4 linked regions of the Oreochromis niloticus genome follow. The protein of the gene in region 1 interacts with the protein of each later gene in a pairwise test. Links are inferred from orthologs where the notes say so. Each region holds a gene or a part of one and is shown on either strand. Other genes may lie near its edges. The genes, in order: atf4a, coiled-coil domain-containing protein 106, cebpg and junbb.

Region 1 (7,961 bases):
CAGGACATCTACTTCGCTTCCCAGCTCCAATGTGTAGACTGGAGATGGGGGAGATGGAGAGGGAGGTTCAGATTTAACCTCATGAGCAGGAGCAACCTCCGTCTTCTTGACCTCAGGTGCCACAGGGAGGGAGGGCTCTAGAGGGGGACTGGGAATGTCGGGCACAGGCAAACTCAGCTCAAGGCTGCTGTGTGGGACGGGGATGGTTGTGTTAAAGGCATCTAGATCTAAATCCATGGAGGAGTCCAGGGAAGCCAGGAGATCTTCAGGGGAGCTGGGAGACTCATCAGAGGAGCAGGATCCAATGAAAGACTCCAGGTCAAATTCACTCAGGTCGATTTTCTCTGACATCCAGTCCATGCCGGCAAAAGCATCATCTGCTGACAGATATTATTCATTAATACTCGCAATAAACATTAAGAAATTTGGATGATTATTCTTACAGTGAATCATTTCTATGCAATACTCCATACAGCTAATTATTTGTTAAATACCAGGGTTGTGAATTGTACTGCATCAATTTTTACAGCATATTTAAAAAGCCGTATGACAATATCAACACTGTGGGTTATATTCATGTTACTACATATCACAGAAAAAGCAATGCACGGATGTAAATTACTGATGTGGTTACACGGTGGAAGCTGCTATTTAAAATCTTGACCCAAGATACAATATCCAAAAATATTACGATAGCTGCTGGCTGCAAGCATCAACAAAACATCAAGTGTTTATTTTTTTTTATATTGTCAGAAACATCACAAATTTCCTTGAACTATTGCGATGATGTTTTGAGACTTTATAACCCAACCCTATTCAACACATGACCTCAGGCACATATTTGATCTCTCCCTCGATTATGTGTCTGACGTTTACAAATACTCAAGTGAGACTAAATCCACAAAACAAGGAACTTCAACTGATGCCAGGAAGCACAAAGGGATAAATGTGTTATTGCACAATGACGTCTAACAAAACCAGTTTGAGCCGGTCTTTGCGGCACAACTCTGAGCCACACCCGCCACTCAAACCAATAAAAGTTTGTTGCCCTACAAACATCCAGGTTGCTCACCCACGGCCTTAACGTCAGCCCTCAGCCTGCAGGCAAACCTCAAATACTTAACTGACAGTGGGCCTCTCCTCTGAAATATTCACAGCACAACAAATGCTCCCAACTTTATAGTCTAATGAGAGCGGAAGATGTAGTTTGGTCCTAAACATACTCCAATTAGTAACCTTCCATCATTTCTTTTATTTGGTTTCTATTCAGTTCAACAACTTGTCAAATTATTTGCTTTTGAAAAATAATTGTTAAAATTTAGGACTTGCCCCCTGCTCATTAAACATGTATTTTAAGGCACTCACCTTTGCCATCATCTGCTCCAACATGGGCGTCGAGCAGGTCGCCGGCACCCAGCCAGGAGAGGGACAGCGAGTCCGCTCCGGCCTTGGTTCCCAGGAACGAGGAACAATGAGTGGGAGGAGGAGAGGGAGATGGGGAGGCCAAAGACAGCGGGGAGAAAGACATGGTCTGATAAGGGGACGAGGAGGATGGATAAGTGGACAAAGAAAGGGAGGGCGAAGCTGGCGCCTTCCCCTCTAGGGAGGAGGGAGAAAGAGCTTCTTCTTCATCTTGGTCCAGAAGGGGCCCCATGGGGTCAGCCATCAGAAAGGAGGGCCCTGAGAACAAAAGATCAGCCCGTCAACTTCTAATTTGGGGCATCCAATACATACAAATCTGTCATTCATCCAATAACTCACTAAAACATCTAACCCATCTACAGATAATGCCATGCTGACCATATGAAACTGTACTTCATTGGCTTTAGTATTGTTGGGAATGGTATTACCATTACCAAATGTTATGCAAACAAAGCGCCACATTCAGCAATGTTTGTACTAGTGCTTTGGCAATGTGTGTCATCACAACACACACCTAAGTACAGGGCCTCCACGTCCTCCAGGGCTAGCTGGGAGAGAGTCATGGCTGCTGCTGGTCAGTGGTAGCCGTGAAAAGGTGTACAAGAACAATGGTGAGTCGAGAGGTCCACGTATGCTGTCGACGGCAGCAAAGCTGAGGGTGGTTGCCGGGAGAGACCTGGTTGGAGGGAAGAAAACAGAAATCATGTTAATGAGAGAAAAATGAGGAATATAAGCAAATGTTAGTGTTGATTCATATGGAAACTAAAATGAAGTGACACATTTTATTGTCAGAAGTTGTGAAATGATATATTCAAACTTTATGAAAATCTGATGTCTGGCAGGGCCAAGTTTATTTGTAAATGCAAAGTTTCCCCAGTGCAGGTGTACTTCCTGAAACAAGCACATTTTTGACTGACAACCCTTGTGCAGACAATGTAGGCTTCTCTGGTAGTATGTACTAGGGTCATTAAAAGGAGTTGACATCCCTGTCATGGGGGAGGGGGGTGTCTAATTTTGGCTAATCCGTTCCCCTTGAGCGTCAAAGCTGTATTGATGGGAAACTCCGCCCTCCACCGGGGGGGATAACTTTGCCTAATTTGGTCATGCTTTAGCTGGTAACTCCACCCACGCCTATGAGTCATGGCGGAGATGTGGGAGGGCAAACCGCCATTTTCACAACAGAGCCATCTGCGCGAGGCGGGGAACGAGCTAAAAACCCACAGCGCGCGCCATTTTGGACGCCACGTTGCCAATGTGAAACGTATACAAAACACTAAAAATGTTTTTAGTACCACACTGACAACCGTGTCGCAGCCACTGAAGAAAATTAAAAATTAAAATGAGAAGTCTAAAATGTTTTCAGTGCCCAATCGACGGCTCGTTAGCATGATTCACAACACAAAGTAAGGCGCCGGCTCGGACTACTTCAGCTGGTATACTGTAATTTGACACCCTAGCTCTAAACAAGGAACTATGACTCAAAACACACTTAGCAAGTTTTTTTCACAAAAACAAATAGCCTTGATCAACAAGTTTAATAGCCAGTGACACATTCTAGTTGACAGATTAGTTACTACAAGAAGTGGCTATAATTTTTTTCTCTTTAGAAGACTGCAAAAATGTCGATAAAAAATTACTTACGCCATTTTGCCAGAAAAAGCCAGTGCACGTAGCCGTTGCACTGCCGGTTTGTTGCCGCTGCAAGGTTAGCTGCCGCACGCCTCTACACTGCCATTTTGGCCCGCTACAGCTTCTACGCGTAATGTGTGTTTACTTCAGGAGCTGTACGAACGAAGAACAGGTCGAGCCGTCGCGTGGGGGGTTATATATGGCCGAAGTACTGCTGCGTATATCGCTCCGCACCCAGCGCGAGGGCGTTTGTTCACTGTGAAACCAGCAGCGCGAGTGGGAGGTCTTCACAACAGTCAACAAAAGCGTGGCCACTCGACCATGCTGGTTAACTTAAACAAACGAACATTTTTTGCGAGTGGGATCCCTCCGCCCGACTGATGTTTGTAACTGGTTGGATGAATCGCATCAAAGTAGATCCACATGGATGCTGTGACGTAAAATATAGGTCAAATCCAGAATGTAAACATTGAGACGAGGCAGTATTTTATGGGCCTGGAGCTGTTTTATTGTTTGTAACAAAACCTTTCAAATCGCATTTTTGCCATAATATTCATTGTACTGGAGCGCAGGTGTCTATTGTTTTAACAGGTCGACGGTTAATTTAGATCACAGCGTGCCCCATTTTATATTTTATTCACATACAGACGGACATGATTCACTGCTCATGTCTAACAAATGTAGGGTCACACCCTTGTCATTTTAAGCAGTCTTTCTCTGGTCGAACAAGCCTGGTGACTATTATTTGGACTGAACAAGACTGTGCAGACTACAGAGCGAGGCCCACTTCATACATTTCATCATAATTATTTTGTTTCCACCCTACATGATGGTTTAATGTGGCTGGAATAATTTTGTAAAGGGAAAATATCATTTTAGATGACTGTCAAAGTAGTCAGTGAGGTAAATAAAATGCTGATTGTAGCTCAAATGCACTGTTTCTTTTTTCAAACCAAAGATGGTGTTGAAGCCAAATATTAGAGCAGCCCCCTAAAACCCAAAATTGGTGTCTGAATAAAATCTTCAGTTTTGTTTCTAGATACACTTGTTAGAGCCAGCCATGGTGTAATAAACAAGGAATGATAATAAGGCAAACATAGATAAAACAACCTCCATCCATAGTTGAAATAGGGGTGAAAGATCCCGATATAAGCTGCAGGACAGCGGATCTGAAAGTACACCTGGGTCTGGTTTGTGGTTCTCCAAAAACAGTTTCTCTTTCCAAGTTTTTGTTGTCGTTTTTATGTCACTGAGATTTTACCCCCACGATAGGTGAAGGATGTGAGACTGGTATCAGGAAGTAAAAGAGACCATTTCTGATCATGGCTATTTTTAACTATTCATGTTATGAGGGAGCCTTAACTATGCTGTTGCAAGGGATTCAATAAGACACTATTGGTTCTGAAGGTGAAATTAATTTGGACCCAAACTCTTTTTTTTTCAAGTGACAAATTTTTCACAACTCAAAGAAAATGATAATGATAGAGTGGAAATGTAAAAAAGTTTATAGCATAACTAGGTTAATCAGTCAAAAATTGAATGATAGAATGATAGGCAGAAATATTTGATTATACACTGAGAAAGGGTTTGACTGCATTTCTGTAAATTATCATATGGTTTGTATGACACACAGTCAGGTCTGGTGCCTGAGTAACTTTATGGAGAAGTAACATTTAAAATGTTTCATTTTAAGCTTCCAGTTAACAACCACTCACATTTTTGTGTAAATTGTTTTTAAATGCGACATGTATAACTATACCACATATAAAGTCAAGCTAGGAATGATAAAAGTCTATGTATTTTAAAAATGTGTACTCAGCATCAGCTGAAACTTTTTAAAAGAAGGACTACACTGCCCCCTGGTGGATTTTGTCGATCTTTAATCGGTTTATTTAGTAGTCTTTTTAAAAAACATGTCATTCGATTGCGTTTAACCCTAGAACACTATCGCTATAAATAGTAACACAATCACTAATGCCGGGTGATTTTTACCCGATATAATATAACCAATAAAAAGTAATCAAATATATCAAAATATGACAACACATGACAAATTAGAGTGGTCTTCTTTTACTTTCAACTGTGCCATGTCTAACAAAATGAAAAAAAAAAACAACCCTCCTAAAACAAAATAATGACTCTGGAAAGCTGGTCTTTGGTCCACCCATTCCTGGGAAATTTGAGACTTCCCTGGTGAAGGCACAGGCTCCTCGACACACAAACAGCTGCAGGAGAGAGAAATCATGTAAATGTATTTGCTCGGGTGTAAATCACCCAGCGATAGTGTTCTAGGGTTAACAATGCGTTTGCATAACACCTTATCTTAAGGTGTTAACTCATCTTAATAGGTGAAAACAGCTAAATTAAGGGAGGTTAACACAATCTCAGTTTTATACAGCATTAATAACCATAAACCATTTAAAAGAAACTGCTTGAAGTTACAATTCCTAAAGTTGCACTAAAAGTTTTGTTCTGTTTTCGAACCTGTTGCCAAAGAGGAAATATATGTTGATCAATAAACTTTCGTAAAACTGAAAATTAACATTAAAAGACAACCCCCAAACAAAAGATATTCAGGTGGAGAAAAATACCCTCCTAACAATACTTCTCAAACAGTTCTTTCATTTCGATGAACTCATCCAGTCGTTCCTGGAGATCCACCGCCAAGGAGCGGAGTTTCTTTGCCAACTTTGACTCAAAGCCCTTCTTCACCTTGGTTCCATCTTTTCCTTTGATGAAGTACATATCCATGCCGAGGGCAAAGCCTTCTATCATCCCAGATGGCTTGGAGTTTGCCTCCAAGACCTTGGCACATGGCCCTCCTTGACCAAAGAACTCCAGCACCTTGGAGGCCCTCTCTGACTTCACCTTGGTCCTCTCAAGCATGATGACACCATACTGCCTCAGCTGCTCTATGCCCTCATGGACATAAACCAGTTTCTCCTGAATGCCCTTACTGAGTGACTCGTAGTCAGTAAAGATCTTTTCAATTTTCTTCTGGTCCTGGTTGCAGTTCACCTGGAAAAACATGCTTCACAATCAGTTCAATACTAGAAATTCAGATAACTAGAGTGGGTAGTTTCCAGTTAGTACCCTTTTTTAAAAATTGTGATAACATAAAAACAGGGCTTTTGATCTCAGGAGAGTTATTACTGTAAAAGAAGACATTCAGCATTTTAGATTGAAGTCCTGGAACTCCAAATTAACAAAAGAACAAAAACAAAAGTGAACCAGAATAGATTTAAAAATGTATTTTCTCTTAAAAAGTTAGGAAAACCTATCAACCTACAAAAACCATGAACAAAGATGTTTTAAGGCGGTGCCTTAAAGACCATCACCTTATTTGCGATGGCTGCTGATGCACCAGTAACACCGCCGGCTGCAGCCACGCCGACCCCGACAGCAGTTAGTGCCAGCTGGATCTTTTTACTCACGTATTGACTTTTCGTAGGAGTTTGACAGACTCTCAGCATCCTAATTAAAGAGAAATGATTTAAAGTGTCTAAAACATGACAAAACAATCACCTAATATCAATTTAATGCTGTATTTATTTTAAGTAATTACCAGGGATTCATTTTCATCATCAAGCTGCATTTGATGGGGTTTAGGAGGCAGTGGAGGGCGTTCACCTTCATCCTTAAAACACTGATCCAGCATCTTAGAAAAAGAGAAACAATCCACGTTTGTTAGATGAACCTTAAACACGTTAATCCTGTTTGAACAGTGCACATATTTTATGTGTTATCTCACATGACAGAGAGTTTGATCAGAGACACCAGTTTCAGATTCTATGAATGCACTTCAACTGCTTTCAGATAAACTACATTTCTGTGACACATTAAAAGCATTCATTGTGTGAGTAGATGCTGAAAGAAAAAAAAAACACACTAGATATAGACCAGTGGTACCTTCATTTTTTCCACAAAAACTTCATTTCCTGTTGAACTCTTTCTAACAGTCCACTTCTTTGGTGGGACTGGTGGTGGACTCGAGCAGATGTCCTGAGTTTAAAATAGAAACAAACAAACAAAAAAAAACAAAACAATCCACCAAATAATTAAAAATGATTAGAATGCAACCATATATGTTTATATATAGCCACTGCTTAAATTTCTGAGCGTGTAGGCAACTTAACCCAAACCTCTCCAGATTTCGTGGGAGACAGGGGAGCACATTTTCCTGGCTCATCAGTCTTAGGACTGATTGGAAGGGAAATGTGTTTTCTTGGCAGGGGAGTCGGATGTGGTAAGGGAGTTGGAACCTTTGGCTGGAGAAAAGAGGGAGTATAATTGAAGGTGGTCATTGAAGATAGTTATGTAACACAGAAGAAGTTTATCAGAGTAGAACTGTGGTCTACAATTTCAATGGCCCCCTCCCTGAACGTATACTTTTAGAGACCATGAGTGCATGTTCATGATACAACATTGAGTCAAATCTAGTGATCTATATATTTTTACAGCGAAATTTGCCTCAAGATTTCTAAGGAACTACAAATCTCAACACATTATATTTCAAGTCAGAGTCAGCTTGCAGAGCTGAAATTCAAGACAACCAAACTGTTAATCAACCTGGTCAGGCCCGCCAAACAAGGCTGCTTGCATCTCTGAAGCTAACATGCCCATTGTGGACTGCTTTCGTTTTTGCTTTGAGTGCAAATCTAATCTAATTCAAAATTTTTCATGATTCTGGCAACTAAACCTTTGCAGTTCTTTTGAAATATTTTGGAACAAATTCCAGATAGGTAGGATATTTTGACCAAAACAATATGCATGGCAGTTTGAGTAAAAGTTGTTGTCGTCTGAACTTAAATAAAATTCAATTTAAATTTCTTACCTGTGGCATTGTGTAACATTGCCTGCTGTCTCTGTGTCACTACAGGATGCTGCACTTTGGCTGGTTGATCCACTAA
Region 2 (7,582 bases), on another chromosome or scaffold:
ATTGCTGAGACAGCAAAATAATAATAAATAATAACAATAAAATGATCTGAATATTGTTTCTTGGGGGTGAGCTAGCCTGCTGCAGCAGAACCCAACTGCCTTTCTTTTTACTACTCAAACCACATTTATTGTTTAGGGAGATCGCCCATTATTCTCTCTTTCTTTCCTTAGTGTCTGAACCTGTAGGAGATGGGCAGAAGCAGGTTATTCTTCTTCAGGGCTTGGACTCTGTTAAGTGTCTCTTCATCCAGGGCAGTGTAGCAGCGCCGGGCATAATCCAGCAGCTTCTCCTTGGATGGGTCAAACTCCCCCACCTCTGCCACCTTCTCTGGGGCGACTAGCAGCAGCTCAGCAATGGGCGTGGTAGAAGCCACTGTGTTGCGGTCAACGCCATGAATTTGGAAGGCTTTGGACATATTTTTTAGTCGCTGGTATGTAAGTAGGATCTTCTTGTAACGGAAAAGCACTCCAGCAGCATCTTTCACTGAAGAAGAAAAACACACAGGTGAGTCAGCTACAATCTCATGAGCAACTCATGACCATAGTATGTAAAAGACGGAAATGCTGTTTTTAAGCATTAACTTGTCATTTTTGTGGCCAGATATCACAAATCTGACTGAGAAAGAGAGGGCACTGCACACTCATAGCACAGGCAGCGACTTGCATGTTAAAAGGCATCCACACACTAAATCATACCTACATTTTGTCATCTATTGTATTTTAAGTGGGATCACATTTTACATAATTAACCTAATGCTGTATTTAACAAGATTAGAAACTAACAATTGAAATTATCAACTCATCAGAAATCAAGTATATTCTTTTTATGGGTTAAAATTTTTTTCAACTAGGAATTGCAGCCTGCTGGTCATTAGAAAGAATGCAGGTTTAAGACACCCACTAGCGTGGTCCCTTGTCTTGGACCCAGGCCTTTTGTGATTCGCTATCAGTTTTGTGATTTGTTGTGGTTCATGTTGTGTGTTCTGTTGTTATAATCGCCTCTTGGTTTCAGTTAGTTTGCTCCTTCTCTGCTCTGTCATTATGTTTTGCTAATCAGTCAATGACACCCAAAAGCTATGTCCAGCTTTTAGATACCGTCAGTATTAAGGACACTTAAATGTTGAGATTTTCCTCTCCTCACCTCTTTGTCGTTCTCTTGGAGGTCGGAAGACCCGCCTTCTTTTTAACTGGTGTCTGTTGCTGTTAATGGCGTCTGACATCACATCTTCCCCTGATATCATTTCCTCCTCCTCCTCAATGTAGCCATCCTGCTCAAGATACTCATCTGATTCTCCCAGTAGTGAAATGGAATCTAACGAGACAAAAATGTTCTATTTAACTAAACACAATAGTTAAAAGACAACATATTAAAAGCACTGATTGCATTCAGTTAATTATGGTGATGCAAAGCTTTATGCCGTATCATGTGTATTACCTGGACCTACGTTGCTGTGCCCACTCATTTCATTCATGGATGACCTTGCAGCACTGCTACTGTTGCCACTGCTGCCACTGGCTGTGGTACTGGAAGTACTATGGCTATGGCCTTGCAAAATGGCTTGGGATTGTGTGGAGTTGAAGAGAGCATTCATAGATGCAAGCTGATTGGTCAATGGACTGGACACGTGGTTTTTTGAAGTCACCATAGTTGGAGGACCAGGCCTTCGCTGCATAAAGTGACGTGAGGGGAAATGCTGAGAGTCGGTCTTCTGTTGTTCTATAAAGAGAAGGAAATCTGAGAATCTGCAAGCTAAGCTAAAATATATGAAATAAAGTATAACATTAACAGGCTGTTTGGGTATATCTAATTATGACTTTTCAAATTTTTACCAGCAGGACGATCTTCCTCTCTTCTTGCCCTCCAGTTAAATCGTCTTGATTCATATCCTTAAGAGAAACAAATAGCAAGAGATAAAAAATTATTTTCGATTCTAATAGACTTGCTAAAAAATCTGTTTCTCATTAACCATGTAACATTAATGAACCCATCTTCTCCCCCAGTGACAGATAGGATAGCTGCCAGTCCCCTACATGGATTAACCACTGGTGAAACTGTTGGACATGTTATTAACTCACACCTGCCCCCTGTCCTCACCATTACTGTATTGGCTCTGACTCTGCTCCTGTCCTTGGCTCTTTGTGGAAAAGATGAAGCGGTCCAGCTGGCAACGGAGGAAGTCCCTCTCCTCTTCCAAGTCCTCAATTCTTTTCTGCAGCCAAGAGTTTTTCTCCAGAGAGATCTGCAGCTGGGTCCGCAGGTTGGTGATCACCATGTAGGAATTGTTGACTGGAGATGGTCCAGCAGATGACGGTGACTCTGAAGAGTACCAATGGTATAGTTAGTCTGGCCAATAACTAATAATGCACATCAAGAGATTGTGTGTATGGAATTAAGTTATTGTAGAGTAGATTTAAAGTATTGATGCTGATGTTCACCATCAAAATTTTGATCACTCTGGTTAAAAAATCCCTGCTGCTCAAAGTTGCCCTCCTCATAGGGGATAGAAATTTCATAGGCGTCCTCATTTTTTGGCGCTGAGAAGAGACAACAGCAATTAATTATCATGCTTGACCCAAAGACAGGACGATCTTATGTGCTGGGACCACTTCGAAATCTTACTCTGCAGGTGGAGTGAGCCTGCGTGGCTCTTGGATGTGGACGCAGCATCATTCCTGTTTCCGTCCTCCATCTCACACCACAGACAAACCTTTGATTAGTGCACAGTTTAAAAGGTGTCTTCAGTGACTTTCTTACATTTAGTGATGATGTGCTCACATTTATCTAAACAGCTACAGCTCACCGGAAACCTCTCACAACGTGGGGGTGTTGTGCTTTATGCATACGCAGTGAGCCTACAAAGCATAGCTAATTTTATCACACAGCTCTCTCCCATGCAATTAGAAGCTAAAACAGTGAAACTGATTGTATTACTCAAATATAAGTTTGTAGCGCCCTGCTACGGCGCTCAGAAGAGAGCCCTATGTTAGCGTCCTGTAATATTAGCACAAAAAATTAGCTACAATATAAAATTACAATCCCTTTCTTTCTGCACCCTCAAGTTTAATGAGTTCACTCTCACATTGTTAAAATCCCCGAGTTACGAATATCATCTGCAGAAACTGTTACATACCACTTTATGTTTGTAATAACTTAGTCTTGCACATGTAATAAGACGTTATAACTCCGTCATATCTCCATTTCACCAGTTCGTCGGCTAGCTAACAAGCTAACAATAACAATTATCGGGGTTTTTTTTCTACTGAGACTCCTACGTCACTTCCGGATGACCGCCCGCTGCAGATACTTTTATTTAAAAAAATGTTTTGGTCGTTTTTTTAATAACGGCATTTGCGTGCGTGTAGTTAAATATATGAGTAAACGTTTAGGTATATTAATATAAAATATATATTGTTTCCAGATATTTGGGAAATTTCTCACTTTTAAACTAACTTTTCCACTCACTTGTTTCGAAACATTTCATTGTTTTTTCTCCGGTGTAGGAAAACTACAGGACAGGTTGAACAGGTGACGAGGTGTCAGGTTTCAGCTTTGTCGACTGGTCGCTTCTGACAAACTGTATGCGGAAGGACAACAAAAGCGCAGTTTCCAATAGAAACATTTGAATTTTAAGTACTCAACAACGTAAGAAGGAGGTAAGTGTTCTGTTTTGTTTTTTGTGCTTTTTATTTAGTAAAATGTTGTTTTAGCTCATGTAAACTATAAAATCTGTTTGTAAAGGGCGTTAAACGCGCATCCACAGGTGTTATAAGTGTAGCATGGCCGGTATAAACAGTGCTATCAGCATTACTCCCATTTTTTCAAATTATTTTTATATATATACATTTTTTTAATATTGTTAGCTTCTTTTAAAATTCTTTTTAGGTAGAGATGTGTGAAAATCAGGGATATGTTGTAAATATGACTTTGTTTAAATATTTTATGTATATATTTTTAACTATGGAGTCAAAAGATATAAAAGCTGATATGTTAAAGGAACAGGCTTCCCTCCCTCTTTCTTTCAGTGCAGTAATGGCACCGAAGTATGATGGCTTGTCCCACTGTAAGGTGGCTCTGGTGTTTGCTGTGCTGATGGACCTGCTGGGTGTGATATCCCTGCTGCTGGGGGTCTTTGCCCCACTGGAGATCAAAGGCCAAGACTTTGGGGATCTGCTGGTGTACTCGGGAGCTCTGCTGGTGCTGTTTTCCCTAGCAGGCTGGGTCATGTGGTACAGTGGAAACATTGAGGGTCTAACCTCCAAAATAGAGCTTGGTGGAGCTGTGGGTGGAGCTGTGGACAGACTTGCCCGCAACCTGAGTCGCAGGATACGGCTGCCCAGGACCCAAAGCAGTCCGACGTAGGTAGAGAGGCCTCACTGGACCAAAGACTAACTGACTTGAGCTGTCCTTTTTTAGGCAGCAGGCCAGACTGCCTGAGGCAAAGGAGTGTCATTACTGTTTGTCGTTCTCTTTACAAACACTTCCTTTGCTGAAACCACCTCATTTACTTAAAAAAAAAAAAAAAAGATTTGTTATGCTGTTTTCTATAAGGAAAACTATGATAATTTCTTTAATCTTTACCTAATATATAAAAGGAATAATTTATAGAGATTAAAGAGATGAATCTGCAACATTGTCTCCCAGTGCTAATTGAAAATTATTCATTCATTTACTTGTGTCATATTGCTGGACCAGATTATGGCAGCAAAATCACTCAAAGCTAAGGACTGTACATTAACAGCTGAAGGCATTTTAATGACAATAATCATATTTGCACAAGGTTGAGTCAAAACATAGTTTCAAATCTTTTCAAGAAGGATACAGAGCCGCTACGACATCAACATGTGTGCACAAACTGCATATAAATACTGCAAAGGACACTTGAAAGATTTTATCTCCCTTATTTTACAATGAAAAAAAGAACAGAAATCCAAACATAACTGAAATTAAAAGAATTGCACAACATCCAATGGAAGACGGCAAGCAAATAGCCAATTGAGAAAATAAATAATTTTTAACGACAGCTTCTGAAGTTGTTCCTTTAAGCGAGGGGATAGTGGACATATTTTCAATACAGACACCTCAAGCACTGTGGACAGGGGTAGAAATTGAGTTAACACTCATGGCAGGAATACCAAAAATATACAACACAAAAGATGGAGCTTTACAAAACAATAAAATGTCTAATTGTGTTTATGGTGTGAGACCAAAATCCTGTCTCCAGTTCACAATTAACAACAAAGTATGTACACAGCAGCTACGAGAGAAGCCACATCACCAGCTTAAATGTTTTTGATGCATGCACGACTGCTCTCTACATTTTTTTCCCACCAAGTGAGAGAAAAATGTATTATTCAGCTGACAGTCAGCAATACTGCATTGATTTTTAGGGCAAAGGTAAAGATCTATTAGCCACCAGGGAGCTGAATTACTGACCAATTATACAGCAGTGATATAAAATGAGATGAAGGCACACGGGAAGGTTTCACGATCCATTAGGATAATTAGATATCAAAAGATATGTACAATATATATGAGGTAAACAAGTATGAATTGTTATGAATCATATCTTTAAATGGTATTTTATTGCTACCACACTAAGATGTTGGTTCATTTAGTTCCACGAAAGATCCGTTTCAATGCTTTGTTGAGTCTGCTCCATCTTCATCATAGGTGAGAAGCGTGGAACAGTTACCTCCTTTCCATCAATGGAGTGCTGGTGCTGAGGGAACAAGAGAGCTGCCAGAATTCCGGCAGGTTTAAACCTGGGATAAGTTGGGATAAACTGAGTCAGAAGAACTTCTAGCATTAGTCCCTCTCACACTCTCACACAGCTGCTGACATCAGTGGTTCAAACTTCAGGTACAGCAATTAATTTAGTTGGCGTGGCTTCTAGATTGGGCAGCAGCACTGCGCTGAAGGAAAAGGACGTGTGAGATGAAAAAGCTCAGAGTGCAGGGTTAGGCACAGGTGGTGTGGGAGTTTGCCAGATGATCATGTGACTACGTTCAGATCGCTGTGGCGTGGCTTGGGACACCTCTTCCGAGTCATCGCTTGCATCATCTCCTGGAAACAAAGAGGACTTTGTCAGCCTCTAAATAGTCCAAGTAGTGCACAAATGATGTAATAGATGAGACGGACTTAAGTACAGTTTTATTATTCTTCAGCTCACCAATTCGAAAGTTGATGTAGCCCTCTCCTCCACTGAGGATAAGCTGAGCAGTAGTGACATGGCTGCTGCCAGGATTGGTGATCAAACAACCTGACAGGTACGAACATTTTTTGTGGTCACTCAAACACAAAAAAAACATGCATGTGCAATCTGAAGCATCTCTCTTAATTGTTAAGAAGTTACATGTAATGGCTATCCAACTCTTACCGGGTGCAGCAATGATGAATCTGACGACTTGTCTATGTCCATGGTAACACAGCTGGGCAGATGCAGTGGAGCAGTAAGGGATGGAAACATCCTCTGAAGCTGCAGAGAGTTAGTAATATGGTTAATAGTACACTGAGACCATTTATGACCAAATAACTTTAAGTTCCAGGCATTCTTAAGCTAAACATACTTATGGACAAGGGGATGGAGAAAATGGCACCACCTCCTGTGCCCACCCACAAACGGCCACAGATAACAGTGAGAGAGGAGATCTGGAGAGGTGAGAGTGTCAGGAAGGGCTGGCCTGTGGAGAGAGAGAAAACTGGTTAGATTGAAGCTAAAGTGGTTGGTCATAAAACAAAATGTATGTAGAACAAAAATAATCAATAAAATATACACACAGTAGTCTGCATCCCTAATTTCTTTATATTTTCTTCGGAAAATGGGAAAAAGGGGCAGCAATCTATTGAAATGTACATACATGGAAATATTGTATATAAGGCAATAAAGCCTACAAGCTTCAAAGTCAATATTTGGTATGACCACCTTATATGACGACAAATTACAAGAAAGCTTCTACGAGAGTTCAGACTGTGTTGAAGAATAGTCTTCAGGAGTAGTTATTAAGGCTTCTGAAAGGGCCTCCAAAGCTCTCCTTTGAATGTTGGCTGCCTTTTTTTTTTTTTTTTTTTTTAAATTCTTTGATGACCCCACACTGCTTCACTAATGCTGAGGTCCAGGCTCTCGCAAGCCATGTTCCACCATGTATTTTTCTATCCAGCCATGTTTTTACTGCATGTGTTTGGAATTACTGTCATGATGATGAAGCTGCTTCCAATCAGATGCTTTCCAGAGCGTACTGCATCGAGTTCATAATTCCATCGATTTTAACAAGAGCTCCAACACGACTGGCTGAAGTGTAGTCCCAAACCATGACAGAGCCTCCACCATAGTTTACATGGCTGTTGTTGTACCCCTCTCCCAGTTTTCTCCGTACATACAGATGATAATTGGAGCAAGAAATTTAAAATTTGCCTTCATCACTCCATAAGACCTGTTGCCACTGATTTCAATTCCAGTTTTTGTGTAATGTGGCACATTTAGCCTTTCAAATAGCCAATGTCCAAAGAGAAATATCTTCAGAAAAACTATTGCTCAAGACTGATTAAAAAATTACAACAAAGTCTGGCTCTTTGGAAGCAAAA
Region 3 (8,461 bases), on another chromosome or scaffold:
CAGAGTCAGATATAAAAGTGTTTTTCCATTTCTGATCTTAAACAACACGAGTCATGAAAAAACAAAACAAACACACACACACACACACACACACACACACACAAACAGAACTGTGCTTAAAACATCAACATGTAGTGAATGTACTTAACAATAAAAACACTTTTGTTTTACAAACTCTTTGTAGAAGAACAGAAGAAAATACACATCCTGAAAAAGGGAATTTTAGCATTTACAAGTCCATCCTGTGGCTGCGGAGCACTCAGCGATGGCCACGGCCGTCTTCATCAGACTGAACCGGGGGTTTTCCGCCACCAGGAAGAGGAAATGCAGGAAATGTGTGGTGATTTTTTTTTTTTGTTCCAGAGAATCCTGACAGATGACGACTCAGTTTATACGAGTTCACATCGCATCACGTTCCCCCAAATCAATGAGTCAATCAGAGGAGCGATGACACAGCTGGAGGCTTCCAGCCAAACATCACAGACTAACTGGCTTTCAATTTTAAAAGTCACACTTCAGTGGATCTTTTCAATTTTTAAAAGATATTTCCAGAAAACATGTTTTAAGCTTTTTCTTCTAAAATGATTCCAGCTGTTCTGGGTAGACGGTGGGAACACTGGCGGTTATTTTGGCGAACTGGATGATGATGGTGTTGAATTATTAAGAGGTTAAATAAAAACTGATAATCAGAAAAAAAAAAAAAGCCATGAAGAAGAAGTGGGGCCTCGTTCCCAAAGGGAGAAGCTTCCACAAAAGCTGCAGATATTCAACATCCTGGTGGTTACCCTCCTCACTGCCCATTGGTGGAGGTACTGTTGGGGGCGGGACTGGAACCCTCCGCGCCTGCCGACGGCTGGACGTTGTCAGCCAGGTTGTGAGCGTGCTCCAGGAAGAGGTCTTTGAGCACGCTCAGCTCTTTGCTCAGCAGTTTAATCTTTGCCTCGAGCCGCTCGTTCTCCTCCTTCAGCTCGTTTACGCGCTGTTGCGTGTCCATCGCCTTCTGCTTGCTGCGCATGCGGCTCTTCTTCACTGCCAGGTTGTTGCGTTCGCGCCGCTGGCGGTACTCCTCGCTGTCCTTGTCTGCAGGGGGTTTCTTCATCTTGCTGGGGGCGAGGGCTTTGCCACCTCCGGTTGAAGGGTTTGCTGGGACGAGTTGTGGGACCTGCTGCAGTCCGGCTACGGCTGCCGGGAGGGACGAAGAAGCAGCGTGGGCCTGGCTCTGGATGACACTCACGCCGTTGTGGTCAGTTGCAGTTAGTTTCGGCTGCGACGGCCGGCTCATTTGGATGTGCTGCCAACAGGTGCTGATCTTTGACCAGAGTCTCCTCAGGTGTAGAGCTGAATAGAAGACTAGAAGCAAAGAAGATGGTCCTGCAGATGGACAGAGCCTGGAGGGTGAGACAGACCAGATTAATTGAGCACATCACACAGAATCAAAGCAAACACTAAGCTACAGACTAGCCATGGACAACACCACACATGTAAGAAGACAAAGAAGTCAGAGACAGCTGTGTGCAGATGTTTCTGTCCACGCGTTTGGAGTGGAGGCCTCAGCTGAACCACAGTACGTCCCTTTCACTGACTTTATTTGGTATTTTAATAAGTAAAGTACTGGTGACTTTTTATCATCTACATGAAAGAACAACACCATCTGATTAGGGTTAGGGTACCTAACGTCAGAGGTTCCGGTCTTTGCTGGCTTCCTGTGCGCTGACAGGAAGTGAAAAGCGTCCTGGTGGTCTTTGATATCATACAGCTGCATCTCGAGACTTGTGCGCATCATTTTGATCTGTTATTTTTTTCTCCACTCTTCTTCCTCTATGCAGTGAACCTCCTGTCGATCTCTTACTGTTCAAGCCCACTTTTTAACCAAATCAACATTCTACCTGAGCCTAACACATCACTCACCTGCAAGCATGTCTGTGCTGGTTGAATATCCCATATCAATTCACTAATCAGACGCCTACGCAAATGGGCACAAAGGCGGTATTATGGATTCTGCTTTGGCGTCTTTCGGTGGCTCCACCAGTGGATGCAGGCTCTGGTCCTGCTAAATATGAGCTTCACAGTGCAAACACTGAACATTTGTCAGACTTGATAGCTTTTTGATTTCACTCTGCAGCTCTGCGCCAGAAATGTTCAGGGATTTTTTAAATTTTATTTCTGCAACGAAAGGACTGACAAGCCATTTTAATGTGTTTCTATCATTTCTGGAAGGTGGAAGTCAGTCAGTCAGTCAAAGTTCCAGCTCTGAACATCATTTCCTCACTTTCCTAGCGTTCTTCTAGCTCCAGTTAGGAGGCTTCATCATCACCATCTTCTTCCTCCTACTCCATCACTGCGATACCATAATTGTTCAGATTGTTATTCCGCACGGCCAATTAGTAGCGCCGCTCTGATTGGCTGGGGCGTTGCTATGCAGCCAGTCAGCTGTGCGCAGCGGAAAGCGCTCCGGGTGAAACAGCGGAGAGGTTGCCTGTTGTTGCATCATCACGAGCGGCTCTCTTTGTGTGAAGACAGGGGAACTCCAGAGTCATGCGGGGCTACACACAAAACCACCGCTTTCTGGTGACTTCACCGACGTGTGACAAATATGAAAACACACGAAACAGATCAAAACAGGCGGACTGATCCGAAACACGTCGCTTTAAAGTACCCAAACTTTAATTTTCGAACACTTTGACAACTTTCTGTTCACTCGAAGCGACCAACAGGCAACTCACCGACTCACCACTGACCGTCGAGCTTTCCCGATCTGAGACAGGCGTCGATTTAAGCCTAGTTTGGCCCGAAACACGACAGCTTTCTTTTAACGAACGCGAACACTGCCTGTTTAGCCGGGCGCATAGCCAGCTAGCGGGTTAGCTCCTGTCGCTAACAGCCATCAGTTCACTGCCAGCTTCGCTGTTTCGAACCTACAGAGAAAGAAAACTACGATTTTACCTTCACTGGGAGGCGGCGGGCTCAACCGTCCGTCAAAAGATGAGAAAGTTTCCCTAGAAAACCGAAGTTTAATCCCGTCCGTATGAGCTCGGACTGTTTTTGTTTGTAACATGGAGAGCGACCGATTGCGAAATCTCTTTTACCATGTACGGCAATGTCCAGGATGAGCTAATCACAGGCGAGTAGGTGGCAGCGAGTGGGGCGCTTGGCCAATCACCGATGAGTGTGCGGCGGAGTGATGCAATGCTCTTTGTGATTGATTCGTGTTTGGACCAATGAGACGCTGCTATCTTCTCTCGGCGTTGTTTATGTAACCGAGGCTGGTCAGATGAGTTGAAACACGTATGACTTCATCTCTGAATGACGAGACTCACTCTCAAAGCGGCCGTACCTTCAGTAACGACGCTCCCGCTTCCTTCAGTCACTATAATAACTATTGTGATGTCCGTGTGTACGAAGAAACCCCTTAAAACAGCTGGAGAACATTCACAGGTGACACAAGCACTTAATGAAACCGCGGTCCTGCCAGGAACACACAAAAACAATGTAATTACTGTTTTAATAATAATAATGGATTGGATTTCATATAGCGCTTTTCAAGGCACCCAAAGCGCTTTTATTTATAATAATCGTGACCAGAGAATATAAATGAAGGGATGTATAGACAAAGACCCCGAGATGTCAGAGGTCACCTGGACCTGAGCCCCAAACAAACAAAAACAAAAGATCAACTTCAAAAGGTAAAAAAAAAAAAAAAAAAGACAAAAACCCCAAATATTAAAAAAGCGGGTGATAAAAGTGATAAAAAGAAGATACAAACCCACAACAAACAGACAAAAATTTATCCTGACAGCACTTTTCTCTCAGGCTGTGGTTACATGTGGTTTCTAGAGTTTCCAAAAGTGGAATGGGAGGCAGAGCCTACAGCTTCAGGCCTCTTCTGTGGAACATTAGGCTACGTTCACACTGCAGGTCTTAATGCTCAATTCCGATTTTTTGATCAAATCCGATTTTTTTGTCTGCTTGTTCACACTACACATAAAATGCGACATCAAACGCTCTCCAGTGTGAACGCTCAAAGCGGCCCGCATGCGCAAAAGAAGATGTCACACAACTCGCTCTGTTTAGACCCAGAGCAAACAATATTGTTTGACTGATGGCCCTTAATATAAAGACTTCGGACTTTACGTTTCCAGATTTTTGCTTTAAGTTATTTTGTTATTTACATAATAATGTAGATAACCTAATAATGATCCTTTTTGCTGTTTTAGAGGAGCGGTGCTTCAAAGGATAGTTGCAGATTTCTGTCAGAATCTGCAGAAAATACAGTAAAAATAAAATGTTCACATTTCTCCAACGTTGTCTTCCCAACAGTTTCACCGGATGGTAGGAAATCGTTCGCGATGTCCTATCGGGCGCTTCTCCGGCGCTGATAATTGGCGTCTGTCTTGTGTCAGTGACGTAAAAGACGGATTTAATGCGACTTGACCGTTCACACAGCAGTCGCTTTCTAAAACATCGGATACGTATCGGATTCAGTACCACATACGAAAGTGACCCAGATCGGATTTGAAAATATCGGATTTGTGCCGTTCACACTGTCAGACCAAGATCGGATACGGGTCGCATAGGGGCGAAAAAATCGGATTTGATGCGCTTTCGCCTGCAGTGTGAACGTAGCCTTAGATTGCAGTGCAACTTTCAGCTTTCACTTAACAAAACTTGTGCATTGACTGTCATTTTAATACATAGCTTCCCATTTCCAGAGGCTCCTAAGTGTAAATATTAGGATGGATTTTAATAACTGGACAAAAATCCTTTGCACCGGGTGGCTACCTAAAGTCTAGAAACCACGCCACAGTTCATCCTGCTGCTTATACTGGCAGCCACATCATGAATAAACACCCATGACCCGGTTCAACTGCAGCCATACATGCCCAGGCCATCATTCTTAAACAACCATCATCTGTCCCAAGATCTTTTTCAGGCTCTTTTAGATGTTTACTGACAGTCTGACCTGTTGTAAACTTTCTGTATTTCCATTTGCAAATGCATCATTTAATTATCAGTCTTCATTGTGACTCTGCCCCCTCCTTGTGAGCTTGACTGGGTCTGATGTTGTAAAGGTATTTTCTTAATCATGGAAATAATTCTGTCATCATGCACTGTAGGTGTTTTCTATGCTCTTTCAGATCTTTTGGTGTTGCTGAGCTGGTCAGTGCGTTCTTTCTTTTAAACAATGCACCAGATTTTTGATTTGGCCAATACCAAAGTCTTTGCTGTTTATTTGGGCTTTTCAGCGGAACGATGGCCTCCCTCACTTCCACTGAGATGCCACATTGAGAAGTCCAGCTATCAAATGCAATTTCAACTCTTGGACTTAACAACAGATTTTATATCTGACTATTTCACATGACATAAGATGACAACAGGCCTCATATGACCATGAAGCAGCTTGTCAGTCAATTGTCCTGTGAAAGTCAGTACTGTGCATAAAATGGCTGTAATTCCAGTACAGTTAGTTCAGTACTTTTGGTAAATCCCCCCAAATTAAAGCTGAAAGTCTGTGCTTCATTTTTTAAATTCACTGTTGTGGTGTACAGAGGCAAACAACCCCCCCAAAAAAACAGTCACTGTCCAACAACTTTTGGACTTAACTGTATAAATGAAATTGAGCTGGACTGAAAGCAGCCACAAAGACACACACAACATGAGGTTTGGTAATAGTGATGCCTGGTCACGTGACCAAACATTGCATTGCTCTCACTAGGCGCTGCATCCAAACTGTGCTGATGTCTGGAAATATGCTGTGAATGTTGGCCAGCTGTCCATGTGGAATTCGAAGCTGTCACTCATGACTCCAGTGCAGTGTTTGCTTTTTTGGTAAACTGCTTTCTCAGGTCTGATTGGTTAATGTCAACTTAAATTCAAATCACATTGCTTCTGGAAACAATGTGATTTTTAATTTTTTTTACTGTCCAACCACACTGTTGCTGCAGAAAATGTGTACAGGACCACTAATGCTGCAACACTGATAGCACTGGTGACAATGGTGTGATGTCATTGAGGTCAGGGCTGCCTCAGCTCAACAGAGAGTCACCAGTGCTGTTAAAATGAAAGTAAAGTCACTGAAAACAAATGAAGGCTGAATGCAGTATTAGGAATCGCTCGTGTGATCGAAGAGGTCAAAGGTCCACGTGCTGGCCTGATCTGAGGTACCCTCGCACCGTGCTGACAGCTGAGCTGCAGTGAAGCAAACAAAAGCTCTTCAAATATTTGTCTGAGCGTTTTTGTGTATTCTAGTTTGTGTTTAACATGCTGACTTTGAAGTTTAGGAACATCACACTTATTTTTTCCAGTTTTAAACTTTTTTAATTATTATATTGTTTCCTTAAAAACACATGTTCCTCCAGATCATTTCAAGGACCCTTGGTACTTCCTTCTGAAAGTCTCTGGCCTGAAGAGCTTCCCAGTGCAACAGAAAATGTTGTTCACATTTTCCCAGCTGAGTCCGTCAACACTAGTTTTAAAAGTCAGACCCTGAGGACCACTAAAGCTTCCTCAAGGTTGCTTAAAAATTCCTCAAATGAACCAAAGATGCCCCCCGAAGGATTCTCTATTCCAACATCCTCAATGTGAACCTCATTTATAAGCCACTGATTTTATTCTCAGTGCTACTGTTTCCAGCTGCCCTTTCCTAAATCACTTTTATGGCAGCAGTTACAAAAAGGACAGAAGTCGCGCTGGGCTGTCAGAAAGAAGCAGATTATTGTCTTCAAATGGAGGTCAAGCAAAAACCTGTAAAAATATACGCATGGAATAAAAATACAAAATAAACAAGCAGCTTTAAATCGCTCCCAACACGAAGATCTCTCTGTTTGCTGCTCACAGAGGGCGCTGCAGTCCTGCTCTTCAGTCCGCCGTCCCTGCCCCCACTGCTCCGCGCTGCTCACCCGTCCTCATCCAAGCAGATTCCCCAAGTCACATCTAACATTGTAAGCAGGTCATAATAAATATGCCTCAGTGTTGGATCTTCCTGACTTAGAATTTGGAAATAAAAATACATTACAATAAGAAAAGAAGTTATTTCTTGCAGGGACTTGACGGTATATATTCATATTATAATGAAGTAATGACAGGTTTTTGCATCAGTGCGCATTCTATTTAACATCAGACGTGTTCTAAGTCCAGAAGATGTTCACGACTTTTATAACTTGCACATAAAGTCTGTGCGTCCTGCTCTGATAGGTGCCGCTCCCTCCTTTCAGAGATAAAGTCTCCCGGTGTAGACTGCCCGGGGATTAAAGAAAAGAATTTAGTTCTTTTAAAACAGGTTTTCAAGCTGATCGTGTTACGCGCTGAACACCAGCGCGCTCGGTCTAGAAGAGCGTCTGAAATCCAGAGCATTTATTAATTTTTGTCAATATTTGTTTTTGTAAACATATATATATATATGTATATATATATATATATATATATATATATATATATATATATATATATTTAATGTGACTTTTGCGGACCGACTCTAACTGCTCCGGGTGGTTTCAGCGTGTCTTCACCAGCCTGAGCTTTGGCGCTGATGTGTGAGCAGAGCGCGCAGAGAGGAGCGCAGGACGCTGTGTGTGATAAAAGTTTGAGTCGAGTTTGACTCTGAAGCGTTCCCGTGCAGATAGCTGGCAAGACTGAGGGCTGTGTGTGCGCGCGCGCGGGCACGTGTGCCCGCCCACTCCCTCTCCCTCTCTGTATATAACAGCAGTTTGACAGCTCGGAGTTTACTGAGCAGGAGGAATCAGCCCAGCAGAGTTAAGCCTGAAGCTGCTTCATTCCGCTTCTTTCCGCGTACAAACGGAGCCACTGCAACCGTCACAGTCTCTCCGAGCTTTGGGTCAGCGCATGCTTGCAGCTGTGTAACCCCCTCTCACCTTAGTACCCGACTTTGTGCAACCTGGATTCCCGGAGCTCATCGCCATGCCTGCCCGGGTTTAGATTCTCAATGGAGCTCTCTAACCTGTACGAGGTCGCACCTCGACCCCTGATGAACAGCCTGAACCAGCAGCCCTCCTCCGGCTACAGAGACCCGGCAGATCTTGGCGGTGAGATCGGAGACAACGAGACCTCCATCGACCTGAGCGCCTACATCGACCCATCAGCGTTCAACGACGACTTCCTGGCTGACCTGTTCCACCACAGCTCCCGACAGGACAAGCTCAAAATGATGAACGGGGAGTACGACCCGGTGACTTGCGGCCCGGGGCCCCAGCAGCTCTACATGTCCAACTACATGGAGTCTAAGATGGAGCCGCTTTACGAGCACAATCCTCCACGCCTCCGACCGGTGGCTATCAAGCAGGAGCCCCGGGACGACGAGGACATGAACCCGGGCATGCCCCCCACCTACCACCACCCGCACCCACACCCCCAGCAGTACTCCCAGCAGCAGCAGCAGCAGATGCCGCACCTCCAGTACCAGATTGCACACTGCGCGCAGACCACCATGCACCTCCAGCCAGGGCAC
Region 4 (7,660 bases), on another chromosome or scaffold:
ACATCTACTGAATAAAATATTTCAAATGCAAAAATGACTTTGAATCAAAATCACAAATCTGAACATTTTCACTGCGAACACTTTAGTCTTTGTTATATCCTCCCTTCTTGCAGATGTTCACATTGTGGTTAAAAAAACACCACACACTCATACTCCACCCCGAGTGATATACGTGCTTGTTCACACACACACACACACACACACATACTTAAGACACATACACTTTTCTTATTCTTACCGTAAACAGCTTCCTCCCACCCTCAGGCTTTGCCTTTCCCAAACTCACCCAGGATCCCGAGCAGGTAACACTCAGTTGGTTTTGGCAGTCATCCATGTGATCCTGACTGTTTAAACTGAGTCTGTTGCCAAGCAGCTCGTCCTGCCCTGGAACTCTTTGAAAGTTTGCCCAAAAATATGCATAAAAAAAATATGAACACTAAATCTTAGGGCTGGTTTCGGGTATTAGTAGAACTCCTGTACAAAAAAAAAGCAGAACTTGAAGGTATTTCTATACTAGAGTACACACACAATCTTAACAGACTAAACAGAGATGTGACTAATCAAGATGTGACTAAGATGTCGGACACGTTTTTTTAAAAACGATTTTTATTGTTTTTGCAAAAGATGAAACCGGTTCCCTTCAACTAATCACCACGTCATCACTTAGAGCTAAATCGACCCAAATTTCGCAGCTCTTCTGTTTATAATTGAAGGTGGTGATTAATAGAGATTGTTCTGAGCAGAAGCAAAATCACATATTAGACACGCCGTACATCTGTCGCAACATTCACACGTTTGTCTCTCCCACTGCTTAGCAAACATTAGTGCTTTTGACTAACATTTGGCAAGATGGCACGGTGCCACCTCACGAGTGTTCCCGTAAACACTCACCGCTCTGGACCCTGTGCTGTTGTTCTGTGCCAAAATGTCACTGGAAGTGTGGTCAACCTCAAACCCCAGTGCTGAATAAAACCTAAACCCAAGCAAGAGCAGAGCATCAGAAACAGGCAGCTGCACAGAGGACAGAATTTATAAGGGAGGTGGCAAAGTGGAGGCAAGACACTGCCAGGAATTGTTGTTTTCCTCTGTTTAGCCATATTCCCATGGATACTCACAAAAAGGCATAGAGTTAAAATAGTTGTTCTGAATACCAGCAAATTACCTGAGATGAGGTAATTACAATCAGGCATGGAGAACCTAAAAGTGGTGATTTCAGTTAACTTTCCCAGTCATGTCAAGAATATAGCAAACGGCTGTCAACGGTAAACGTTCTCCTTTCTGTGACAGGTTTAAAAGCTCTCTCCGCTTTAGGCCTAAACACCACTGACAATGAGTTTTTAAAAGGCAAATACATAGTATTACAGGGTGGTGGCTGTCACTATTCATACCCAAAGGGAAAACCTGTTGAAAGCTTGATTCAGCCCCCCTCCCCCTGCTCTGGCACAGGTCGGAAATACACTGAGAGGTGGATTCTGCGGATGAGAAAGTCACAGATTAAATAATCAAAGGTGTGGCTGTGCTTGTTTTGAAATATACAAATATGACTGTACTCTTGTGTAATTCTTGTGCTGGGTTTTGTTTTTGTTATACAGCACAGCCTCAACCACCAAGGTGTAAACTTATACTTTTCCAGGCATGCTCGTGGGAAAGTTGGGCTAATTAACTCTGTTTTAACTAACAGATGGAAAACTGAGAGCGGGGGTTAGCTTGCCGTCCCCTCACAGCAATTAGGTCCTGGGTTTGAATCCACCATCTGGCTGGGGCCCTGGGAGTTTGGATGTTCTGTCTCCAGGTGCTTCCACTCACAGTCCAAAAAAAAGCATGGGGTTAGGTTAACTGGTGATTCAAAATGGGCTGTAGGTGTGAAAGTGAGTGCGAATGGTTGTCTATGTCTTTGTTTTGGCCCTGTGACAGATTTGGGACCTCTCCAGGTGGACCCTACCTCTCTCCCTTTAACAGCTGGAGTAGGCTCCAGCCTCCCTGTGACCCTGAAGCGGATAAGCGGAAGCAAATGAATGGAGGGAAAAGTGATAAGAGTAAGAGTAAGCAAATGGTTGATAATAGCAATAATAAAGGTTTGTGTTAATGTGAGGCATAAACTGTTCTATATAGATACAAATCTATACATTTATTAAATAACAATAAATAGAAACAGCTATCTTACTACGATGGATAAATGGGTGAAACATCCACCTTTTCCAGATTGTAGTCACAGATCACTGATTTTAGACCGCCTGTTAAAGTCTCAGCTTAAAGCTGAGTGTGTCCACACAGGAAGTGACTAGCAGCTAACTGGAAACCTGAGACCACAGAAAGTCAATGACATTCGGTCACTTCAAGTGAAAAAAAAAACGGTTGAAAAAAACCCTTGTGACGCACAGTGGGTGCGTCCCAAGATAAACATTTCTCAAATTCAACGTGAGCTGCTAAAGCTAGCTCACTTGGTTAGCAAACTGCTGATATGAACAATTAAAATGCTATTATTTTTCTTACCAAAACCTTGCACGGTCCTTACCTTACAGAAGGCAATATTATTTATCAGACAGTTCCATTAAAACTCCTTTAAAATGACACGAACAGCGAACACAAGAAAGCTGTTAGCTAAAGCTGCACATGCTAGCAGCTGTCACAACTTTCATAATGCAAATGGATGCGTTATGAAAAAACTTAACAGTACAGATGTTATTTATGTGGAAAGTCTCCATAAAGACCAGTGACCTTTGTTATACCACGATGGTTTTTAATGTTGTAAGTTGGTATTTTAACATGGAGGTTTATGGAGATTGGCTCACTTTTAGAAAGCGCCTCAAGTGGCCATTAAAGGAACTGCATTTCTGCACTGTCATTCTTTCTGAGCCCTTGAGGTTGCTGCCTGGTAGATGTAAAAATGCAAAAAAAATAAGTGTGTTGTGGTTGTATGTCTCTTTTAACAAGTCAAGTTTCAGTTTAAATTCAGGTCTGTCCAAGCACATAGAAACAGTAACATATTCAAAGGAATTTGACACTTTTGGCACCAAACTTCACATCCACGTCTGAATATCTGACCAAATCTGAAATGTAGTTGCAGTCTCCCTTTCTGTTCCTGAATCAGGAAACTGAAAGATTCCAGATTATGATCTCACACTGAGGCTGACCTCTGACCTTTTAGAAATTAATGTCAGAATTGCATCCCATCAGACATTTGTGTGCCATTTAATATTTCGCCTTAGAATTCTTGAGTTTTGGCTAAGACTGTGTTTTTGCGACATTGCCTAATTCAAATCAGGTGAACCTTGAGTCCAAATGGATGTTTGTGCCAAGTTTGAAGAAACTTCCTCGAAGCACTTCAGGAGACAAGTTCGCGAGAATGGGTGGAACAAGTCTACAGATTTAGCAATAATCTGGAAGCATAACACCTGCAGTCATGGTTGCTGTCACTGCAAAGGCATAAAAATCACTGTAACAATACCTGCCTTTATTAATTGTTAAGTAATATCTATTTTATAATCCTTTTAATGGGAACACATCTGGAGCATGGTGGGTGGTGTGAATATTTGATAGGGTTATAGGCGGTTTGTCACACTGATCATCTGCACATGTTAATGAAGATTCGAGAGCCAGTTTTTGTTATATGCTTCTGTTATTGTAATATACATTCTGCCACGGCCTTGTCTTCAGTACACAAGACCAGAGATTCATCCCTCAGGAACAGCCAGAGGATTTTGCAAAGCATCCTACCTGACTTGATTTGTGTGTAGAGGGATGTGGGATACAGTAGTGAAGGCAGTGGTGCTTGATTGTGTGGGCGTTGGAAGAAGTACAAACAGGAGACAAAGGTTTCCTTCTCCGCTACTGAGACAGGTGCTCTATTGAGGAATCATATTTCTTTTCTCTCAACGCTACGATCCTACCGAGCAAATCACAGTAACTCTACATGTAAATCTAAACAAAAGAAAGAAAAAAAGGGTGTTTTTGTTTGGTTTTTTTTTTAATGGCCTTCTGACATCAAAAGGGTAAAACACTATTTGTGAATCTTGCCCGGTGTAATCCCCCCTCTTTGGCTGTGTTGGACAGAATTTCCTCAGTTTCCTCTATTTCATGATCAAAGCTGTTTACTTCAGGCGACATGGCCAACATCAGCATCCTATCAGATTACTACAGGAGGAAGTGTTTGCTCTGTGGCTGATCACAGTTTTCTGCTCCGCTGATGTGTGTCACTGCTGTGTGCTTTCAGGCGTCACTTAGAAGTGGAGCAGTCAAGTCATTTGAATATATCATGTCAATACCTGTGAACCCCCCCGAAAAAATATATGAATATTAACACAAGTTAGGATGTGTATTTTCATGTTTTAAGATGGTTCATATAAAATAATGAATGTTATTTTTCTAGAAGAACTGAACTTATTGTCTGAGGCAGAAAGTCCCTAACTTGCCTAGCCACATGGATTTAGACAGGAGCAGGAATGCTGCTGGAATGAGGCCTGGAGTGGGCCTGGCTTCCCGGTTGTCCAGAAGAGGAACTTATACGTCAGTGTGCCCATATAAGGAGTCTCGACTTCCTCCATGGGACCGATTGCAGTAAACAGCTGATGTTTGTTGTATATTTCATACCCAATGGATCCAACAACAGATTGCGCGTGAACTAATGGGCATCCCATGAAGCTATAATGACATAAAATGAACCCAAACCGGCGCATTTAACGCAGTTTTAAGACACATTAAAGAACCTACAAATGAATTAGAAAAGCAGCGATTTGCTCTAACGGAATAATCTCACCTCCTCGCTTACCCAACAACCATTTATTCAGCCCATAAACGCGCAAAGTCGTGCATAAATACGTCGGACTTTTCTATTTCTGACATTGGTCTCCGCTGCGAGCCCTCCTCGGAGCGCTCTCTTGCCTACAGGCTTGTTTACAGTCGCCTCTTCCCGGCATTAGCGTCACTTGACGACGCACTCGATGGGCGCGGAGACACACACTCTGTCCAATGACAGCGAAGCACCCTATATAAAACGGCGCACATGAACCCGCCTGAACACACCTCAGCAAGCACCAAGACAAACACAGCGGCAAATAGGAATTGCGAGAAAGAAGTTTTTGTTTCACAGGATTTTGAAGGAAAAAACCACAGCAAACAGGCTCCGGGAAAGACTTTTGAAATCCGCTGATACTGAACTCTTGCTGGACTTTCACTAGTTTGTTTCCTTTGCTCTTCATCCTCGAGTGATTTTCATTTTTTGAAATTTGGAAACACTGTTTAAGAGAGACTACAAGTGCCCGATTTGATGCATGCTCTCTGCTGACACTGACTTTTGTTGATTACCCAGAGACTGTGTTTCTGTAAGCGGCCGGTAAGCTCACTTTTTTCCTACGACTTTATGTCTACAAAGATGGAACAGCCTTTTTATCATGACGACTCTTTTCTGTCGGCTTACGGCCACTCAGACGCGGCAATGCACGACTGCAAACTGCTAAAGCAGAATATGAATTTGAACTTGACAGAGCCCTATCGCAACCTGAAATCCCAGCTGAGGGCCGAGACAGACCTGTACCAAGGGGGCCAGCAAGACGTGGGGTCCCTGAAGCTCGCATCCCCAGAGCTCGAGAAGCTCATCATCCAAAACAGTAACGGTGTGATCACCACTCCCACCCCGGGCCAGTACTTCTACAACCGGGGCATCACCGATGAGCAGGAGGGCTTCGCTGAGGGTTTTGTGAAAGCACTGGACGAGCTCCACAAGATGAACCAGATGCCCCCCCCTAACGTGTCCATCGGAGCCGGTGGAGTTACGACGTGTTCGCCGGCGGCCTCTAGCGTCTTCGGCTCCGCCTTGCAGCCCGAGCCCCCCATCTACACAACACTGAACGCCTACTGCCCGAACACGAACCTATCTTCCTCATCCAGCTACCCCACAGCCACCATCAGCTACCTGCCGCCGCACCAGCAGAGCCACCACCAGCAGAGCTCGACGCACGGCGCGCACGCTTTCCAGCACACCCTCCCCGTCTCCGGACTCCATCCGCAGCGGCTGGTCGCTCTGAAAGAGGAGCCTCAGACCGTGCCCGACCTGCTCAGCAGTGACGGCTCGCCTCCGATGTCCCCGATTGACCTGGAGACCCAGGAGAGGATCAAGGCGGAGCGCAAGAGGCTGAGGAACCGACTAGCCGCTACCAAATGCCGGAGGCGCAAGCTCGAGCGCATCGCCCGGCTGGAGGAGAAGGTGAAAGTTTTGAAGAACGACAACGCGGGGCTCTCCAACACGGCGTCGGTCCTCCGGGATCAGGTAGCTCAGCTCAAACAGAAGGTCCTGACACACGTGAGCAGCGGCTGCCAGCTGATGCTCACAAGCAAGCTGGAGGCGTTTTAAAAATACCAGAGACTACTAAGAAGAAAAAAAAAAATGACTGAAAAGTGATAACACTGGAGTCATGTTCTGCATGCGCAGCACTGGAATTACCGGCTCGTGTGTAGTCAGCATCACAGGGCCGAGGGCTAGGTGTGGACGATACTGAAGGCTATTTTAGGGTGAAAAGACTGATTGTAATGGTACTTCCGGATGCTGGACACCCCTCACAGGACCATTCAACCCTAGAATCCAGGGCAGCATCCAGACTGAGCAGACACTGAGCAACACAGTGGGCGCACATGCCCATAAGTCGGGTTTACTAATGGTAGAAAATGGGAACGATAATTTGTTTTACTTTGTACCATCTTCCTTTTCCCCCTTTGTTTAGTTTTTTGTTTGTTGGCTGCATTTATTCATTGTGTAAATTATTTCATGTGTCCGGTTGATCCAGACAAACTGATGATGTCCAATGTTTACAGTGTCTCTTTTTTTTTAAAATTGTGTTGTATATTTAAGTAAAGTGTCTCAAAAATGAAAAATGAAATGGTGGAGTTGAGCGTTTTTGTTTTCACACATCTACACATAATTTAGAATAACAATAACAACAACAACAACAGCACCGGGAAAGAGTGGGAAGAGCAAACGAGGTTTTCTTTCCTACCATACTGTAACCATAACAGTTACTATAGCTCCCAGTGAGGAACTCTTACACAAGCACATTCTGGTTGCGGTGTTTTTACGCACAGAGCGTAGCTTGCGTATGTAGGCCTTTCCTAATTACGCAGGGGCTATCCATATATGGGCATACTGGTGACTACTTCGTCACAGGGGAGGATTTCTGGGAACCCCCGCCCAGGTAACGCAAACAGGTTCCTCCTCACTCCCTCTATATACTGTATCGATAAGATTTGCGAACTTCATGAGGGTGGCGGAATTTCCTTTTGGTTATTGTGCAATTGTAAAATAAAGTGTTTAAACGGGAAGAGAGCAAAGTGCGATCCTCTTATCTCTTATCAGCTAAACAAGCTAAACAAGAGCTTGGCGTGATAACAGGAAGCAGTAATAAAACGGCTGTGATCGTGGTGCTTTTTAATATTGTTATTTTTTTAATATAATAAATGAAGATTCTTAAACTCGTACGCTAGCCACCTATTGGTGGCGCTCGAGCCTCAAAGTTGTTGCAGCATTTTTTAGGTGTCAGTGTAATTGAAAGATCGCACACGACGGGAAGTGACAGTGACTTAGTACCTTCAGGAATGCCGGGGGCGTCTCAAGATGCCACGCCGGTTGGCAGAGCAGTAGGCGAGAGTGGGCGTACGGAACGCGCAGGAG

What was found.
Region 2: the proteins of atf4a (region 1) and coiled-coil domain-containing protein 106 interact in binary tests that used the Homo sapiens proteins (3 or more experiments, as listed by UniProt). The link is inferred for Oreochromis niloticus from reciprocal best matches to the Homo sapiens genes ATF4 and CCDC106.
Region 3: the proteins of atf4a (region 1) and cebpg interact in binary tests that used the Homo sapiens proteins (3 or more experiments, as listed by UniProt). The link is inferred for Oreochromis niloticus from reciprocal best matches to the Homo sapiens genes ATF4 and CEBPG.
Region 4: the proteins of atf4a (region 1) and junbb interact in binary tests that used the Homo sapiens proteins (3 or more experiments, as listed by UniProt). The link is inferred for Oreochromis niloticus from reciprocal best matches to the Homo sapiens genes ATF4 and JUNB.

The regions. Positions count from the first base shown.
Region 1 is NC_031971.2:9,244,743-9,252,703, reverse strand, and holds the start of atf4a (cyclic AMP-dependent transcription factor ATF-4), read right to left. Parts: upstream 3,246-7,961; 5' UTR 3,064-3,245; intron 2,099-3,063; 5' UTR 1,986-2,098; coding exon 1,937-1,985; intron 1,681-1,936; coding exon 1,366-1,680; intron 381-1,365; coding exon 1-380. Other genes in the region: uncharacterized protein LOC106097202, read right to left, coding at 5,647-6,069, 6,390-6,525, 6,617-6,687. UniProt on the Homo sapiens protein: Transcription factor that binds the cAMP response element (CRE) (consensus: 5'-GTGACGT[AC][AG]-3') and displays two biological functions, as regulator of metabolic and redox processes under normal cellular conditions, and as master transcription factor during integrated stress response (ISR).
Region 2 is NC_031976.2:22,629,622-22,637,203, forward strand, and holds the start of coiled-coil domain-containing protein 106, read right to left. Parts: upstream 3,265-7,582; 5' UTR 3,132-3,264; intron 2,709-3,131; exon of another isoform or gene 2,691-2,708; coding exon 2,621-2,690; intron 2,536-2,620; coding exon 2,437-2,535; intron 2,318-2,436; coding exon 2,096-2,317; exon of another isoform or gene 2,002-2,095; intron 1,888-2,001; coding exon 1,831-1,887; intron 1,718-1,830; coding exon 1,436-1,717; intron 1,313-1,435; coding exon 1,142-1,312; intron 506-1,141; exon of another isoform or gene 485-505; coding exon 168-484; 3' UTR 1-167. Other genes in the region: si:dkey-17m8.1 (C-Jun-amino-terminal kinase-interacting protein 4), read right to left, coding at 5,946-6,064, 6,171-6,260, 6,378-6,476, 6,568-6,681. UniProt on the Homo sapiens protein: Promotes the degradation of p53/TP53 protein and inhibits its transactivity.
Region 3 is NC_031965.2:37,665,584-37,674,044, forward strand, and holds the start of cebpg (CCAAT/enhancer-binding protein gamma), read right to left. Parts: upstream 3,105-8,461; 5' UTR 2,944-3,104; intron 1,389-2,943; 5' UTR 1,283-1,388; coding exon 791-1,282; 3' UTR 1-790. Other genes in the region: cebpa (CCAAT/enhancer-binding protein alpha), read left to right, coding at 7,940-8,461. UniProt on the Homo sapiens protein: Transcription factor that binds to the promoter and the enhancer regions of target genes. Binds to the enhancer element PRE-I (positive regulatory element-I) of the IL-4 gene. Binds to the promoter and the enhancer of the immunoglobulin heavy chain.
Region 4 is NC_031969.2:8,275,990-8,283,649, forward strand, and holds junbb (junB proto-oncogene, AP-1 transcription factor subunit b), read left to right. Parts: upstream 1-5,004; 5' UTR 5,005-5,359; coding exon 5,360-6,349; 3' UTR 6,350-6,872; downstream 6,873-7,660. UniProt on the Homo sapiens protein: Transcription factor involved in regulating gene activity following the primary growth factor response. Binds to the DNA sequence 5'-TGA[GC]TCA-3'.